Arabidopsis thaliana: one gene and its partner. The protein of the gene in region 2 interacts with the protein of the main gene of each other region in a pairwise test. Each region holds a gene or a part of one and is shown on either strand. Other genes may lie near its edges. The genes, in order: SAUR19 and AT4G38520.

Region 1 (6,947 bases), on a different chromosome or scaffold from region 2:
TAAGCATCTCCGTACCATCTGCCTCGAATATGGTTACATTAAAGCACATATTTGCCTCATGAGTGAAAGTAAGATACTCGTTTTCACCCAAACCGTTGTCATTCACAAACTGGTTCCATCCACGATCTTCCATGTAGTGAAAATTTGGGTTCTTGGAGATTTTAACTTGCCATGACCTTCCCCATGGTACTCTTAAGACCATCTTAAACGATGAAGACTTGTCGGAGATGCTTCTTATCAAGTGATGAGGAATCATTCTCTTCAGAGAGGCAACAAAATCAAGAAATATGGAACATCAGGAAATGGTAAAATGAAGTCACATTCCTCAATTTCAGTGATAAGTACAGTAAATAAAAGTTTACTGATCGATGTACAGTCAAAATCCATTTGGTCCGATCCGATCATTTCACACATCAAAACTTAGTTAAGACCAAGAACAGACAGATCTAAGTTCAGGACACTACAAGAGACACACTGAAGAACCAATAGATTCGATCTTTAATTTAAGAAAAAAGGCTAATAAGAAAATAAGTGATAAGGCTTACCATCATTTCAGTCGAATGATCTTCCCTTCGAAGAATCTTGAAGAATGCTGGATTATCTCTTTCTTCCATAATCTGACCAAAAAAAGCTTTGTTTTTCACCATCTCTGCTTCTCTCCTTCGATATGATCTTTCTTCAAAACCTCTCAGTCTTAACTCTTTAATCCTCTTCACTCTATCTCCTCAGTCACTCACTCGCATCTTCTCTTTTCAACTTTTCTATCTCACTCACTCGCTACTTCTCTTTCTCTCTCTCTGGTTGTGGGCAAAGAATGGGTAAAAAGAGAGGTCTCTTAAAACTTTAATTTCTAAAAACAGCCAAAGTGTTTTATTTTTCTGCATTAACTTTGAAATTAATTTTACTTGTGGTTAGTTGGAAAAGATTCCCATGAATCATTAAACTTTTGTGATTCGTAATTTGATATCGTAATGATACACAGAAACAGCAATATGCTCGTGACTTCCCAGACACGTAAAAAGCAGAGCAAATTCCTATTTTTAGTAACTGAATTCTAAAAAGACAGCGTCATATTTCCATATTTTTTTTTTTGGTTGCATAAACTATTAATTAACTTATACTGTACTAAAATACATTCACGGCAAATTTTGGTTAATCACCCATTTGAAAACCTCATTCCTAATATTTACTAGCTAGTCTGTAGAATGTAGACTTGTGTCCAGCACATACCCCTATTAACTTTATACAAGCTACATGTTTGAAAACTTAGCTAAAAAAATAAAAATACTACAGACTATACATGTTTTTTTTTGGGATCAAACTATAGAATATACATTAGTACTCTAAAATACCAAAAGAAACATGCATATATGTATATTCAGCGTAACAGATACGTATCAATAAATCATTGAAGAAAGGGATCGGATCCAGTCCACATCAACCCTAACTAGTGCGTGTCTCTATAGTTTTCCTTTTTGGGCAATGTATACTTGTCTTTATTATTTGGAAGGAGAAAGCAATGTTATTTATAGAATAAAATACAAACAGAAGTTTGGAATTCAAAAGTAAATTTCTTTTCCTTTTTGCTTGACAATATCTTGAAAACTATAATCAAATGTCACTGGAGACATCAACTAAATGTAACCCCCACACTATACGTAAGAGCCAGCCACTGATAAATTGTGTAAGTTAAAAGTGGTCATTTGTTATTTGTTTCCGTCTAATTCAGAGTAGCAAACAAATACTAAAACCGGATCTGAAATTCTCGGTTAGAGTAACAAGAATCCCGAACCGGGGGTAGTGCATCAAAAGGCAAAAATTGGAAATAAGCAGGTAAAACAAAAAGATATCCGGAATAAAGTTCGGGGGATTGAACCCGACGTGAATCGAACACGCAACCTTCTGATCTGGAGTCAGACGCGCTACCATTGCGCCACGGATCCGGATGTTAGATGTTCCACTTAATTGTTTTTAATCAACATGAAACTATAATTAGAGTAGTTTTTTGATTGATGAATTTGGTGTCGTCTTTCTTTTTCAATGAGCGATCAAAAATGTATTGACATGAAGTTTGTATATAACATTAATTTTGTATTTCACTTTCTACACTTTTAGAACAACTCTTTCAAGAAGAAAGAGAAAAAAGCTCATGTATTTACAATGAATAAGTCTATTTCTAACTGAAGGAAAAAATGTTGGATCATCTTCATTGGAGCCGAGAAGTCACATTGATGAAAGTATCTTCGGGACAAGGGATCGTTAAGCCACCCATCGGATGAGCAAACCCAAACTCTTCTTCGGATTTACTGAGCAGAGCTTGAAATGACGGTTGGCTCAAGTATGAGAGCGGCACCAAATATCTCTTCTTCTGGCTCTCTCCTACGTACACCGCAAGAAACCCTTTTGGTGCCGCAGATCCTGCTGCGGTGGAGCGGCTTAGAATCTTCTTTGCTCCCAATAGACTTCTCACGAAAGCCATTTTTATTTTATTTTAAATAAAAGAAGTTTGAATTATTATGAAGCTCTTGAAGATGTATGAAAAGATTCAAGTTATTGGAATGCTTGTTGTTGGTTGATGATAGAAATAATGGGGTTATGGGTGTATATATAGAAATATCAATGAACGATTTGAAACTTCTCTGAAAAAGTCATTGAAACTGTGGTCTTGAAGCGTGGGACAGACTAGAGCAAGAGTTCACATGGTTCTGTCTTTACCATCTGGAAAAGATGCATTAATGAAATTTATCTACTTAAATAATCTCCATGTGAAATTTCACAAGGGCTTGCTTTCTCAATGTTTCTGAGATAAGACGTGCCCTATATTTGCAAGAACAAAGACAGCAGGTTCTGTGATGATTAGGTGGTTGGTTCTTTGTCCTATAGTACTCTAATCTCTGCAGTCGAAATGGATTTATTAAGAAGTTAAAGTGGGGACCTGAATGTTATTCAACAACAGAACAACAATTCAATGTCACTCTCTAGTTGTTCTTTGATTATATCCACACATGAAAACTAAAAGAGACTGAATACCTCACTTCTTCTCTTCATTTATTATACAGACATGGAGAAGACAGACCCTTGTGAAGTGATGATAATGCTCATTAGCTTCCGTTGTCAACTTGTCATCTATCATACCTAAAAAACAGAACCATGTGAAACTATCTTTGTGTATGTCTCACCCCTACTTTGAATGGTTTCAGGGTGATTTGAAGTCTTTTATCAATCTATTTATACATCCAGAGACAGAACCAACTCTTCACCAAGTAGTGAAGCAATCCAGACCTCAAAATTTTGAGCATCTAACTTTTTCTCAGAAGCTTCAAATTTAGATTTTCCAGACTCAAGAAATGGCTTTGTTCAGAGGCCTCTTGAGTTCAAAGAAGATTATCGGCTTTTCTGTAGAGGCTACAAGCAAAAGGACAGTTTCAACACCTATTTTATGTAAAACTATTATTTTATGAAAATCTATATTTGGAATATAACCAAAAATGTATATCAATATGATCCTGCATAGTAAAGACACTCACTTAATAACCAATTTTTTTTCACTTTCTCACATCTTAGAATTGATGTTTTGAGAGTTTCGTATACTACAAGAAACCCTTTTTAGCACTCCCTGAGCGAATTTAAAAGCCTCTCGGAAATCTTCTGAAACTTGTGGATGTAAGAGTGGACACATAAGAAGAGAGTTTAGATGGTTTTGTCGTCCAGATGCTAACGTGATAAATGAATGTGGATACAAAAGACGAGCAACGATAAGCTAAACTAGACTTCATGAGGGTTTGAGTTCGCTACATTTGCTTGTGGTTCTTGGTTGTGATTTCTCTGGTTGCTTTTGTCGTACGTCCTGATCTTAATATTTGAAGAAGGAGACGTGGCTCACTTGACAAATGCTAGGAACAGACCAGTCTCGGGTTTTACGGATCTTATGCAATAGTCTGCATGCAGTATCCAGTATCCACATTAATTGTTCTATAACATGTTATGATAGTAAAACCATAGGAATGATCACAAATCATGACAAGAAAAGCCTAAGGAAATCAAAGAAGCTTAATATCGCATAAGTGATTAATAGCATTGAGCCATTAATGATCTTACAACAACAAGAGTCTCTCAATGTTATTTGGGAAAACATCGAGATCATTGAGAGAATCGAGTCTGAGCCCTTTAAGTCGTCTATATAGGTCATTTGCAATTCCTTTAATTTTGGTTACTCTAATACTCTTTCTCTTTGGATCAAAATACACCACATGGAAGGATTCATACACACTCATTGGCGTATAAACAAACTCACCAGCATCAGTAACACCCTTCAAAATTAAACACGCCCATTCTTTGTCAGACAGAGGAAAATTCAAAGACATAAAGAGACATATTTCAACACCAACGGCCATGGAACAAGGCCACCTACACCATCATCTTCACAACCTTGAGCTTCTCCAAAACATTTCTCATTGGATCTCATGATAAAAAGCCAGAGAAGTAATAAGCAAATGGCTGGCAAGTTCTGTTCTTGATTGTGATTCTCTGCTTGATTTTGTCCGTTTTTGAATATGAATAAGCAAACGTGGCTCGCATGAAAAATGCTAGAAACAGAGCAGTCTCTGTTTATACAGACTACAACAATAGTTTGCACTATCCACATTGTTATATAACATGCTGGGATAAATATCTTGAGATTAAGGAATAATTACAAATCATTACAAGAAAACCTAAAGACATCATCAAACAATCTCAAAATCTAATAAATGAATGATGAAGAACTAGCATCGAGCGGTGAATGTTCTTACAAGGACAAGAGACTCTCAATGTGATTTGGGAAAACATCTAAATCATTGAGTGGACCAAATCCAAATCCCTTGAGTTTCCTACAATTCCTTTAAACTTAGTTTCTCTTATACTGTTTCTCTTCAGATCAAAATACACAACATGGCGTAGAAGCTTCGTGCCAAGGAAGCAGCATTTTGGGTTAAGAAGATTCCTATGATCCCTCCCGTTTTCTCTTTCTTTGAATCCATGGCGGATCGCAAACACACTTTTACTTTCTTCAAACCCTAAACAGTTGTGTTTAGTTTATCGAATGAAAGCGAAGGGCAAAGTCTGGATTTTTTTAAAAAGAATATCCGGAGTAAAGTTCGGGGAATTGAACCCGACGTGAATCGAACACGCAACCTTCTGATCTGGAGTCAGACGCGCTACCATTGCGCCACGGATCCGGATGTTATATGTTCCACTTAATTGTACTTAATCAACATGAAACTATCATTAGAGTAGTTCCAATTGGTTTGGTCATTGGTGTTATCTTTTCATTTTTCAATGAAAGATCAAAAATGTATTGACATGAATCGTTTCTGTTGCATAAAGATGGCATTTACTCTCTAAACTTTTAGAACAACTCTTTCAAGAAGAAAGAGAAAAAAGCTCATGTATTTACAATGAATAAGTCTATTTCTAACTAGGAAGAAAAATGTTGGCTCATCATCGTTGGAACCGAGAAGTCACATTGATGAATGTATCTTCAGGACAGGGGATCGTTAAGCCACCCATTGGATGATCGAATCCAAACTCTTCCTCGGATTTACTGAGAAGAGCTTGAAATGAAGGCTGGTTTAAATATGAGATTGGCACCAGATATCTCTTCTTTTGGCTCTCACCTACGTACACTGCAAGAAACCCTTTTGGTGCCGCCGAGGCTGCTGTGGTGGAGCGGCTTAGAATCTTCTTTGCTCCCAATAGACTTCTCACAAAAGCCATATCTATTGTTTTTGTTTCGAATATTAAATTCTTTAAAATCTTCTGAAGATGTATGAAAAGATTCAAGTTATTGGATTGCTTGTTGTTTGTTGATGATTGAAAGAATGGGTTTATGAGTGTATATATAGAAAGATCAACTACTAATGAGTTGAAACCTCTCTGAAAAAATCATTGAAACTTGTGGTCTTGAAGTGTTGGACAGACTAGAACAGAGAACATGGTTCTGTCTCTACCATTTGGAAAAGATGCATTAATGCAGTTTGTCTTGATGAGATAATTAATTGATTGTGGGACATTAAACTAAAAACAAAATCCATATGCAATTCACAAGGGACTGTTTTCTCAATGTTTTTAGATAAAAGACCAGCAAGTTTCTCTTCTCCATGTTCTGTGATGATCCTATTTTTGATTCTCTGTGGTCTAAATGGATTTAATAACAACTTAAAAGTGGGGACCTGAAGTTTCTCAACAACAGAACAACATGTCTCCATCACTCTTTAAGCTGTTCCTTTTTTATGATATACACAAATAGAACCACACACGAAAATCAAGTAAAAGAATAAAGAAAACATCATCAAAATATATACCCCTTTAGTTTTCTTGCAACAGTATTACAGTAATGAGATCCTCCATGCCTTGCTTGTCTTTGAAGCAACTTAAGTACCTAAGTGTAAACATCGGTGAGAAAATCACTATGATGTTAGCCTTAAGGTCAAGATCAAGAATCTTCATTATTTTAAGCAAATCCTCTTGGTGATAAGGAATGTATTTACACATTATATCTATGACAGCAAGATGAAGTATTTACATTGAATAATCTATCTCTCACTAACTACTGTTAGTTATTCCTTCTTGCGGAACATCTTCATTGAAGCTGAGAAGTCAGATCGATGAAGGTATCTTCAGGACAATGGATTTTTAAGCTAGCCACCCATTGGATGATCGAATCCAAGCTCTTCCTTGGAATTACGGTGAAGAGCTTGAAATGAAGGCTGGTTTAAATATAAGACTGGCACCAAATATCTTTTCTTTTAGACCTGGTCTTCGCCAACGTACACCGCAAGAAACCCCCTTGATGCTGAAACTGGCCTTTTGCTTGTAGCCTCTATAGAAAATCTGATAATTTTCTTTGCACCCAAAAGACCTCTGAACAAAAACATTTCTTGTGTTTGGAAAATCTAAATTTGAAGCTT
Region 2 (9,019 bases):
TACCTCTTTCTTCTGAATCCAAAGATCTGTGTAGAGGAAGAAAGGAGCCACAGCAAGAGAGAGATCTATGTTGGTGGACTATACATACATACCACCGATTTCAATTCAATCAGTTTCATAACTTTCAGCTAATTACATTTATAGCCTTTTACTTTCCCATATTATCACATTAATCATTTTCTCATCTTTATACTTTAAAATTTTTGAAGAGAAAAAAAACATATCCAACGTTCTACTTAATTTGGTATGATTTTTTTATTTTATTTAAAACACCTAAGTTATAAGAAAACCTAGTTTGGTAAGATTTATTTTGTCCCGCTATTTTTAGATTTTACAGAAAATTATGGTCTTTTAGAAAATCATAAGTTTACTAATTAGTAATTAATACAAAATAGTATTTATCAAAATTTAATAATTTTCTTTATTTTTTTTCAAAAAAGAAAAGAATAAATCAAGTATTGATTGATATATGTGTTAAACTCTTTGCTATTTGCATTTCCGAGAGATTTAATAATGAGAGAAAAAATCTAAAAATTTCATTTTAAGAAAAGTTGAAAACTCTCAGGCGAGATTATATGAGAGCTGAGACTTATTGATTGGTTCAGAACACAACTGCATACCAAAGGCCATGTGTTTTGTAAGGCCATGGTCTGAGAATAAGCTGAGTTTCTCTAGTCTGAATCAGTAATACCTTAAAAAGCAAGCAATGAAAATTAATGAAGAAGAAGAAGAATTCTTGTCACCTTTCTTTCTCCAGTACACAGCTAACAAAGGGAACAAACAAAACTAACCACTTGATTATGATATATCCTTTCCCACTTGATGATGATATATCCTTTCCCAGTCAATGATAATAATAATCAAATATATATATTTATATATAGTTACAGGAAGGATCTTGGAAAGAATTTTAAGGACACCGTAAAAATTCAATAGTCAGGAGGCGCCAGCAGCAGCAGCTTGAGTGGGCGTGGTGCAAGGCGCCAGGGTGTTGTGAGGTAGATTCACACCCGCTCCTCTCACTGACACGGCTGGTCCTCTCAACATACTTCCTCTGCTCACTAGGTTTGTATCAAAGAAGACAACAATCACTGTTATGTCATCGTGGAAATGTCTCCTCACTCCTCTGTCTATCTTTTTCAGGTCTGAGTATCTCATCTCTCTCTTCTTTGCCGCTTCTTGTAGCGCTACTTTCACCAGCCGCTTTGCTATCCCCTGCCATTAAAGAGTCCTTATTATTATGTGCATTCTTTATATATAGTCTAGTAGTACAAACAGAGTGGGGTGTGTGTTCTCACGTTTCGCGGATGATTCTGGACTATGTCTACTGCTTCTTGGTTGCTCATATGTTCCCACAGTCCATCTGATGCACATATAATGAACTGATCGTGCGGCTCCAGTGTATGCACCGTGATCGCCGGCTCTGCACTCAGTAATGGCTTGCTGAACGGTGACCTCAGCCGGAATTTTGCATACAGTGGTTCCCTGTTGAACTCTGACCTTTTCAAATACACATCACCAATGGATCTTGAAACCTGAGTATAGTCATAAAGCCACTCAGAAAGACAACAGGAATTGTAAGACATACAAAAACAGATTTAGTCCAACTCTAGTTTATTAAATACCTGAATGATGCCTTTTACTCGCCAGACGTTATGTTTCAGAACCACAATATCTGGATGATCCGGATGCAGGGCCTGAAGTTCCCGTCTCACTGACTCTATAGATGCGTTGTGCTCTGCTGAGAGCTGAGTGGCATGAGCTTCACCTGTTACCCTCATGACTTGTCCCAGAACGGCCCGTGAGTCCCCTGCGTTGGCCACGTATAGCTTCCCATCGCAGATGACACTTACAAGACAGCATGATCCCACTGTGGCTATCTGAGGTCTAGTTTGAAATTGATTTGTAACTATGGATAAGAAGCCTTCTTCAGTGGCTTGGAACGCTTTTTTTATCACCTCTGATGACATACACTGTTGCTCTGCAGTAAACCCTGTGCATAACATAAAAGATGAGAGATCAAAACTAGAACCATTTTCTGGACTAGTGCTGCTATTAGAGAAATGCTTCTATATTTCCTTTCTAGATTAGCTAATCCAAACAAGAGTTAAAAGCATAGGTTGAGCGACTCACTCTTGAGGTGGTGGAACATATGATCATTGATGAAGCGAGATGTCTCAGGCCCACCGTGGCCGTCGTAGACGCCAACAAAGGTGCCAAAGGGACCAGAGTCGTGGGAGCTAAGAGAGCCAGACTCGAGCTGGCTCTGGTCCTCTAGCAAGCTGTTGGCTTGAACGACGGCCATGGAGAAGTCACCAAAGACGTGCTGGCCGGAGTCTCTGAACCAGAGCAAACCCTCTTGGCGGCCACCAGAATCTGAGGCAGAACGAGCCTGCTGATCTGACCGTGGCCAGAGACAGGCATTCAGAAAATTCATCAACCCAGATAGCATCCCTCATCTCATCCGCCACAACATAGAACTTGTCCGTTTTTAAGATAGCACAAATCACAGCTCTCTGAAATCTGCAATGCCAAAAGTAGTTCTTCACAGGAACGGCGCAAGTTTCACACAGCTTAAAAGAGTGCTCTTCTTCAAGACCTGAATGAACTCAAAGACAATCTAAAGAGCAAAAAAGTGAGAAAACTCAATTGTTATGAGTGGCAATAGAAATGAATCTGTAGGAGATTATAGTGAGACTGATTAGTCTAGTGATTGAACAATCTAAGAAACTTGATGCAACATTGAAAAGTTAACATCTTTAAGTAAGGAAACCATCGGAAGAAAGCAAAATTAGTGATGCGGCAAGCAAGAAAAAAAAACAAAAGGATTTATGCGGCAGATTCCAACTGGTTCGTATTCGCTACCAAAAAAAAGGAAACTTTACCTTGCAAGATGTTGGAAGCAACTCAAGTTGAGCAAGAAAATGAATGAAGAGAAGGATCTCAAGAGGACGGAGGAGATGTGGGCGTGGAATTTCAGAGCTTGTAGATCTACTACGACTACGGATGGATCAACCAAACACAAAATTTATACTTTTATATAAAAATGAACACCGATTTTTATTATTATTAAATTAAATATAAGCGAGCGGATGAGGAAGAAGAAGACCAATTGACAAAAAAAAAAACTTTTTAAGAAGAAAAAAAAATGGTTATCCCCTCAGAAACTAATGATCTTTCTTTCAATGTCTGGAAACAGTGAACAATGAAGGTAAAAGAGAGAGAGAGAGAGAGGTCAAGTCGCCGAACGAGACATCCTCCTTCGACGTTTTTATGTAAAAAAAAGAAAGAAAGTTGGAGTTGTTTTTTTTATCTTCTCTCTTTATCTCTCTCTATAGTCTTAAGACTAAGAGTGATTCTTACCAGACAAGACCCATAAAAGACCAACGATGGCGAGGTCGGAGCCAGCACATCAAAGGTCCCAGCTTTCGGGCTCCACTTCCCTCTCGTCCTTTTTTGCCTCATTAGATGGACAACACCAAACAGTGGCAAAGAATAATATTACAGTTTTTTTAGGGAAGAAAATAAAATAGTTGATATTATTGATATAATAATTCATTCAAGTCTCCTCTTTATTTTAAAAATATTCAACTCTTTTACTTTAGACATTATCATAAACTGGGGTCAAACGGAAGATTTTTCTTCAACGTTTAATAAAATCTCTTAACACAAATCAAAGAAGAGTAAAAATATACGGTTTCGATAAAATTTGGTTATGTGGCGGTGTTACATGACTACGACTGATAAAACTACACGAGTACTTTTGTTTTTCTGTCACCAAGATTTATTTCTTTTACTTACTCCATGTGTTTTTTTCTTTCTTCGTTAAAACTACTCCTCGTAAATTATAATCAAGATTTTAAGCAGTGTGCATATAAAATAAAATACATGTACAGTCTAGAAATAATATATGTGGATTCATGAATCTTTCATTTTTAATTTCCCCACACAATTTGTATCAAACGTTTAATGCCCATAAAAGTGGTGGTCCAGGACCCTGAGATTAAAATTTTAAAAAAATATATAGAGAAGAGGCTTGGGCTTGAAGAATGAAAAATTGAATAACAAATATTTAAAAAAATTTGGGACCCGAAAGTGATTGGGATAAAGTGAGATATGTCACTTTACCTAACATTATTTAATTTTATATTAATGTATGTACCACTAAATTTGGCCCTTTTCTCCCCATCGACTCTTTGTAGTTATTTATACTTTTGTAGTACCAATAATAGAAGAATCAACTATAAAAATTTCAGCTCAATAAAGAAAAACAGAACTATGAATTAAGTGAGAAACTCAAAAGCCTGCTTCTAAAACATGAATACGTCCACGATAATTATCACTAAGTTCTAGATAATCTAATTTTGCGGGACCAAATTGATGTATATGCGAACTTTTTCATACTTTTTTCACCAACAAATGTATATACTTCCCATCATGCATGCTCCCATGGTATCTCGCCGAGTGTCAATATATGTGAACTTACATAACCAAAAATTGATTTATAAAGATAACAATAATAAGGGAGACCTAAAAATAGAGAAAAGGGTGGTGTGGACTGTGGAGAAGGTCCCTACTTACAGAACATAGCTTCCATCAATCACACAAAAATCCAACCACTCTGAACCTTTCACTTCAGGACCAACTTCGTTATCCAATCATCTCCCAATATGCCAATACTTTCACTTATATATGAACGTGTATATATAAACCCTTCACATTTACTTCACAAAAATATCTTTTAAAAAAAGATCATAATCACAACTACTAAGCTAGAATTTTTTAGTAAATTTACTACTACGGTAATTATAAACAAATTATATAGGTTTCTTAAATAGTAGAACTTAAAATATAATGCAAAGTTATGTACGAATACTATCTTTTAATTAAAAATAACGATAAGAATGTTAAAAAAGAAAAAAAAAAAATCATGTTGATGATATATATGTTGAAGTAAAATTTAGTTATTAGGTTTAGGTATACGTCAATCATTCATGATACATGGATCCCAAACCCATAATATATCATGCATCGATCTCTGAAAATCACCAAAGCAAAAAAAACCCATGTAACATGATATACTATATTATGCATCATTTCGCCAATGTAACTTCTCTGATGCCCTGAACCTATTTCACATATGACTCATGGGAAAGACCGACAAAGGGATCGTATTACCCAAATATGGTTACGATAACATCCACTGAATATCACTCAAAATGAATTATTGTCTCTTACTAGATATATTACGGCTAGTTGATGATTTGTTTGAAAAGTTTAATCTTACAAAATTATTAATAGATTTGATGCTGCTCAAAGTGGTCTCTTTTATTTGCACCGCAAAAAGCCAGTATATATCCCCATTAGAAAAGACGTGACAAAGTGTTTAATAGATCCTTTATGTTTTCCTCGGACCCATGCATATATAAGTGTATTTAAATCTTTTATAAGGTTTTTATAGCCATAAATAAACAAATTTAGTTCAAAATAAGAATAATTAAGTAATTGGAATAGCGAGACACGTTCCTTGAGATGATAACACGAGCATATATTCTTCATCACTTTTGTTTGCTTCATATCATATACGCTAACTTATGTGTGTGTGTAATATATGATCTCAGAACTAACAAGTAAGAAGAAGAAGAATGTCGGAGAGTTTCAAAGTGTGCTTCTGTTGCAGCAGAAGCTTTAAGGAGAAAACGAGGCAGCCACCAGTGAGCATCAAGAGACTCTTCGAAGCTTACTCAAGAAACGGCAAGATGTCTTTCGATGAGCTTCTAAGATTTGTGAGTGAAGTCCAAGGAGAACGGCACGCAGGGTTGGACTACGTGCAAGATATCTTCCACAGCGTTAAACACCACAACGTTTTTCATCACCATGGACTTGTTCATCTCAACGCCTTCTATCGCTACCTCTTCAGCGATACCAACTCTCCTCTTCCCATGTCTGGCCAGGTATCTAAGTTTGGAAACTTTTTATGGATTTATTTCACAAATGGTTTTGTAATTGGGTATATTATATGTTCTTGGTTGGGTTAAGGTGCATCATGACATGAAGGCGCCGTTATCGCATTACTTTGTGTACACGGGACATAACTCTTACTTGACTGGGAACCAAGTGAACAGCAGAAGCAGCGTAGAACCGATCGTGCAGGCTCTCAGAAAAGGCGTAAAAGTGATCGAGCTCGACTTATGGCCTAATCCTTCAGGGAACGCTGCTGAAGTTCGTCATGGCAGGTTGGTCCCACTAACGAAGTCTTATAATCAACAAACAGACTCCAAAAAATGTCACACACTATATGTGTTTTGGTTCTCTCATCAGGACGCTTACTTCGCATGAAGATTTGCAGAAATGTCTAACCGCCATTAAGGATAACGCGTTTCATGTGTCTGACTATCCAGTCATCATCACTCTCGAAGATCATTTGCCACCCAAGCTTCAAGCGCAAGTTGCTAAGGTAAGTTGGTTTTGCAGAAACAGAGTATATATTTCGTTCTCTGAAAAAGAGTGATTTACAAATTTGATTGATTCTATGTTTGTAGATGTTAACTAAAACATACAGAGGGATGCTGTTTCGTCGTGTCTCAGAGAGTTTTAAGCATTTTCCATCACCAGAAGAACTTAAGGGGAAGATCCTGATCTCTACGAAGCCTCCAAAGGAGTATCTTGAGAGCAAAACTGTACACACCACAAGAACTCCAACGGTTAAAGAGACTTCGTGGAACAGAGTAGCGAACAAGATTCTTGAAGAATATAAAGATATGGAGAGTGAAGCTGTAGGATATAGAGACTTGATAGCAATCCACGCTGCAAACTGCAAAGATCCTTCAAAGGATTGCTTGAGTGATGATCCAGAGAAGCCTATACGGGTCAGCATGGACGAGCAGTGGCTAGACACTATGGTTAGGACCAGAGGAACGGATCTTGTCAGGTAAAATATAGAGTGAGAGGAGTCATAATGTTGAACCTTTTTCGACTCAAGAGTTATAAGATGAACCTGAGTCAGAGTTTGAAAAAAAACAAAAACAGGTTTACACAGAGGAATCTGGTGAGGATATATCCAAAGGGCACAAGAGTGGACTCGTCAAACTACGATCCTCATGTTGGGTGGACACACGGTGCTCAAATGGTTGCTTTTAACATGCAAGTAAGTGGAACTGGCTCATCATCGTTTGACTTGTTAAAAAATGGTTGAATAATATTTGTGTTGAAAAGGGACATGGGAAGCAACTATGGATAATGCAAGGAATGTTCAGGGGGAATGGTGGATGTGGGTACGTTAAAAAGCCTCGCATCTTGCTAGACGAGCACACACTCTTCGACCCTTGCAAAAGGTTTCCCATTAAGACCACTCTTAAGGTTAAGATTTACACTGGCGAAGGATGGGATTTGGATTTCCATCATACACACTTTGATCAATACTCTCCTCCAGATTTCTTCGTCAAGGTAAACAACAACTACTACTCTTCTTTTAAACTAGATTTCTTCGTAACTGTGTGTGTGTTGCATTTGCTGCATCAGATTGGAATAGCAGGAGTACCGAGAGACACGGTCTCATACAGAACGGAAACAGCTGTCGATCAGTGGTTTCCTATATGGGGCAACGACGAGTTCCTGTTTCAGCTGTCTGTTCCAGAACTGGCGCTTCTGTGGTTCAAAGTCCAAGACTACGACAATGACACCCAGAATGATTTCGCAGGACAGACATGTCTTCCTCTGCCGGAACTGAAGTCCGGAGTTAGAGCCGTCCGGCTTCACGATCGAACAGGCAAGGCCTACAAGAACACGAGGCTTCTCGTCAGCTTCGCCTTGGATCCTCCTTATACGTTTCGTTGAATCTCGTTTTCTTTCCGAAATAAGCCACACAGTGTGTATCTCTGTTTGCACGTTTATAAATTTATAATGTACAATTATTTGCGCCCTAGCTAGAACGGGATAAAGTGTGACAACATATAAATACTATTAAAGATTCGATATTTGATGACTGTAGCCGCCTGCCTAGAACGGGGTGCCTTGTTTGACTTGCCAACTTCAACCACATTTCTTTTTGTTTACTTGAAAGTTAAAAATAAATACTAGAGAGGAAGAAAAACAGAGCTTTCTTTCTAAGATCATCAACGCACCATGGAAGAAGAAGGCAGCCCAGATATCATCATCGTTGGCGCCGGTATCTCCGGCCTTTCCACCGCTGTTGGACTACACAGGTGTGTGTGGCGTGCCTTTTGAGTTGTTATTAAGCAGAGTAAGTTAACTAAAGTGGTGTGTGTCACAGGCTTGGGATCAGAAGCATGGTGCTGGAATCTTCGGAGACACTGAGAGCGACAGGATTTGCATTTACCACTTGGTTCAATGCTTGGAAGGCCATGGAAGCTCTCGGCGTTTCTCAGCATATTCGCAGTCTCCATGATCGCCTTGAAGGGTATCAAACTAACACTATTATTACTATTCATATATAATCAGCTCAGTAAAAAAGGGGACTCATCTTTGATTTTGCTGCAGATGGGTGGTTGGAACAATTTCTGCAGGAACTCCTCCCACAGAGATGCTGTTTCCAGAATCCGAGTATGTTTCTTCTTCTCTGCACAGAGCATATGAATGTTAAAACAATAAATAAGATAACTTCAATAATATTGTTGAATGATTTTGTCAGAGAATATGAGTCTCGATGCGTACAGAGGAAGCTGTTGTTAGAGGCTCTAGCAGGTGAGTTGCCTGAAGAGACCATCAGGTTTTCGTCTAAGGTTGTTCATATTGAATTGTCTGGATGCTACAAGAAGGTTCATCTCTCCGACGGGACCATTCTCAAAACCAAGGTAAATAACTACTTGTCCTCTGTAAACCATGTGAGGCCTGGTCTTGCTACGGAATTGTAGGGTTTCTAAACGAAATGCAGGTTTTGGTAGGGTGCGATGGAGTGTACTCAGTGGTTGGTAAGTGGCTAGGCTTCAAAAATCCCGCTACAACTGCCCGGTTAGCAATCCGAGGGCTCACACATTTTCCGGAAGGCCATGGATTTGGG

What was found.
Region 1: the proteins of AT4G38520 (region 2) and SAUR19 interact in a two-hybrid assay, tested with the Arabidopsis thaliana proteins (one study listed by BioGRID).

Annotation. Positions count from the first base shown.
Region 1 is NC_003076.8:5,960,827-5,967,773, forward strand, and holds SAUR19 (SAUR-like auxin-responsive protein family), read right to left. Parts: upstream 2,580-6,947; 5' UTR 2,480-2,579; coding exon 2,207-2,479; 3' UTR 1,947-2,206; downstream 1-1,946. Other genes in the region: VDD (VERDANDI), read right to left, coding at 1-259, 546-647; SAUR20 (SAUR-like auxin-responsive protein family), read right to left, coding at 5,479-5,754. UniProt on the Arabidopsis thaliana protein: Provide a mechanistic link between auxin and plasma membrane H(+)-ATPases (PM H(+)-ATPases, e.g.
Region 2 is NC_003075.7:18,015,063-18,024,081, forward strand, and holds AT4G38520 (Protein phosphatase 2C family protein), read right to left. Parts: upstream 3,439-9,019; 5' UTR 2,886-3,438; exon of another isoform or gene 2,621-2,885; 5' UTR 2,453-2,620; coding exon 2,134-2,452; intron 1,994-2,133; coding exon 1,626-1,993; intron 1,536-1,625; coding exon 1,299-1,535; intron 1,216-1,298; coding exon 937-1,215; 3' UTR 558-936; downstream 1-557. Other genes in the region: PLC1 (phospholipase C1), read left to right, coding at 5,646-5,954, 6,040-6,236, 6,322-6,457, 6,543-6,931, 7,030-7,147, 7,216-7,446, 7,522-7,836; AT4G38540 (FAD/NAD(P)-binding oxidoreductase family protein), read left to right, coding at 8,125-8,204, 8,273-8,419, 8,500-8,562, 8,651-8,813, 8,894-9,019. UniProt on the Arabidopsis thaliana protein: Dephosphorylates and represses plasma membrane H(+)-ATPases (PM H(+)-ATPases, e.g. AHA1 and AHA2), thus influencing negatively plant growth and fitness.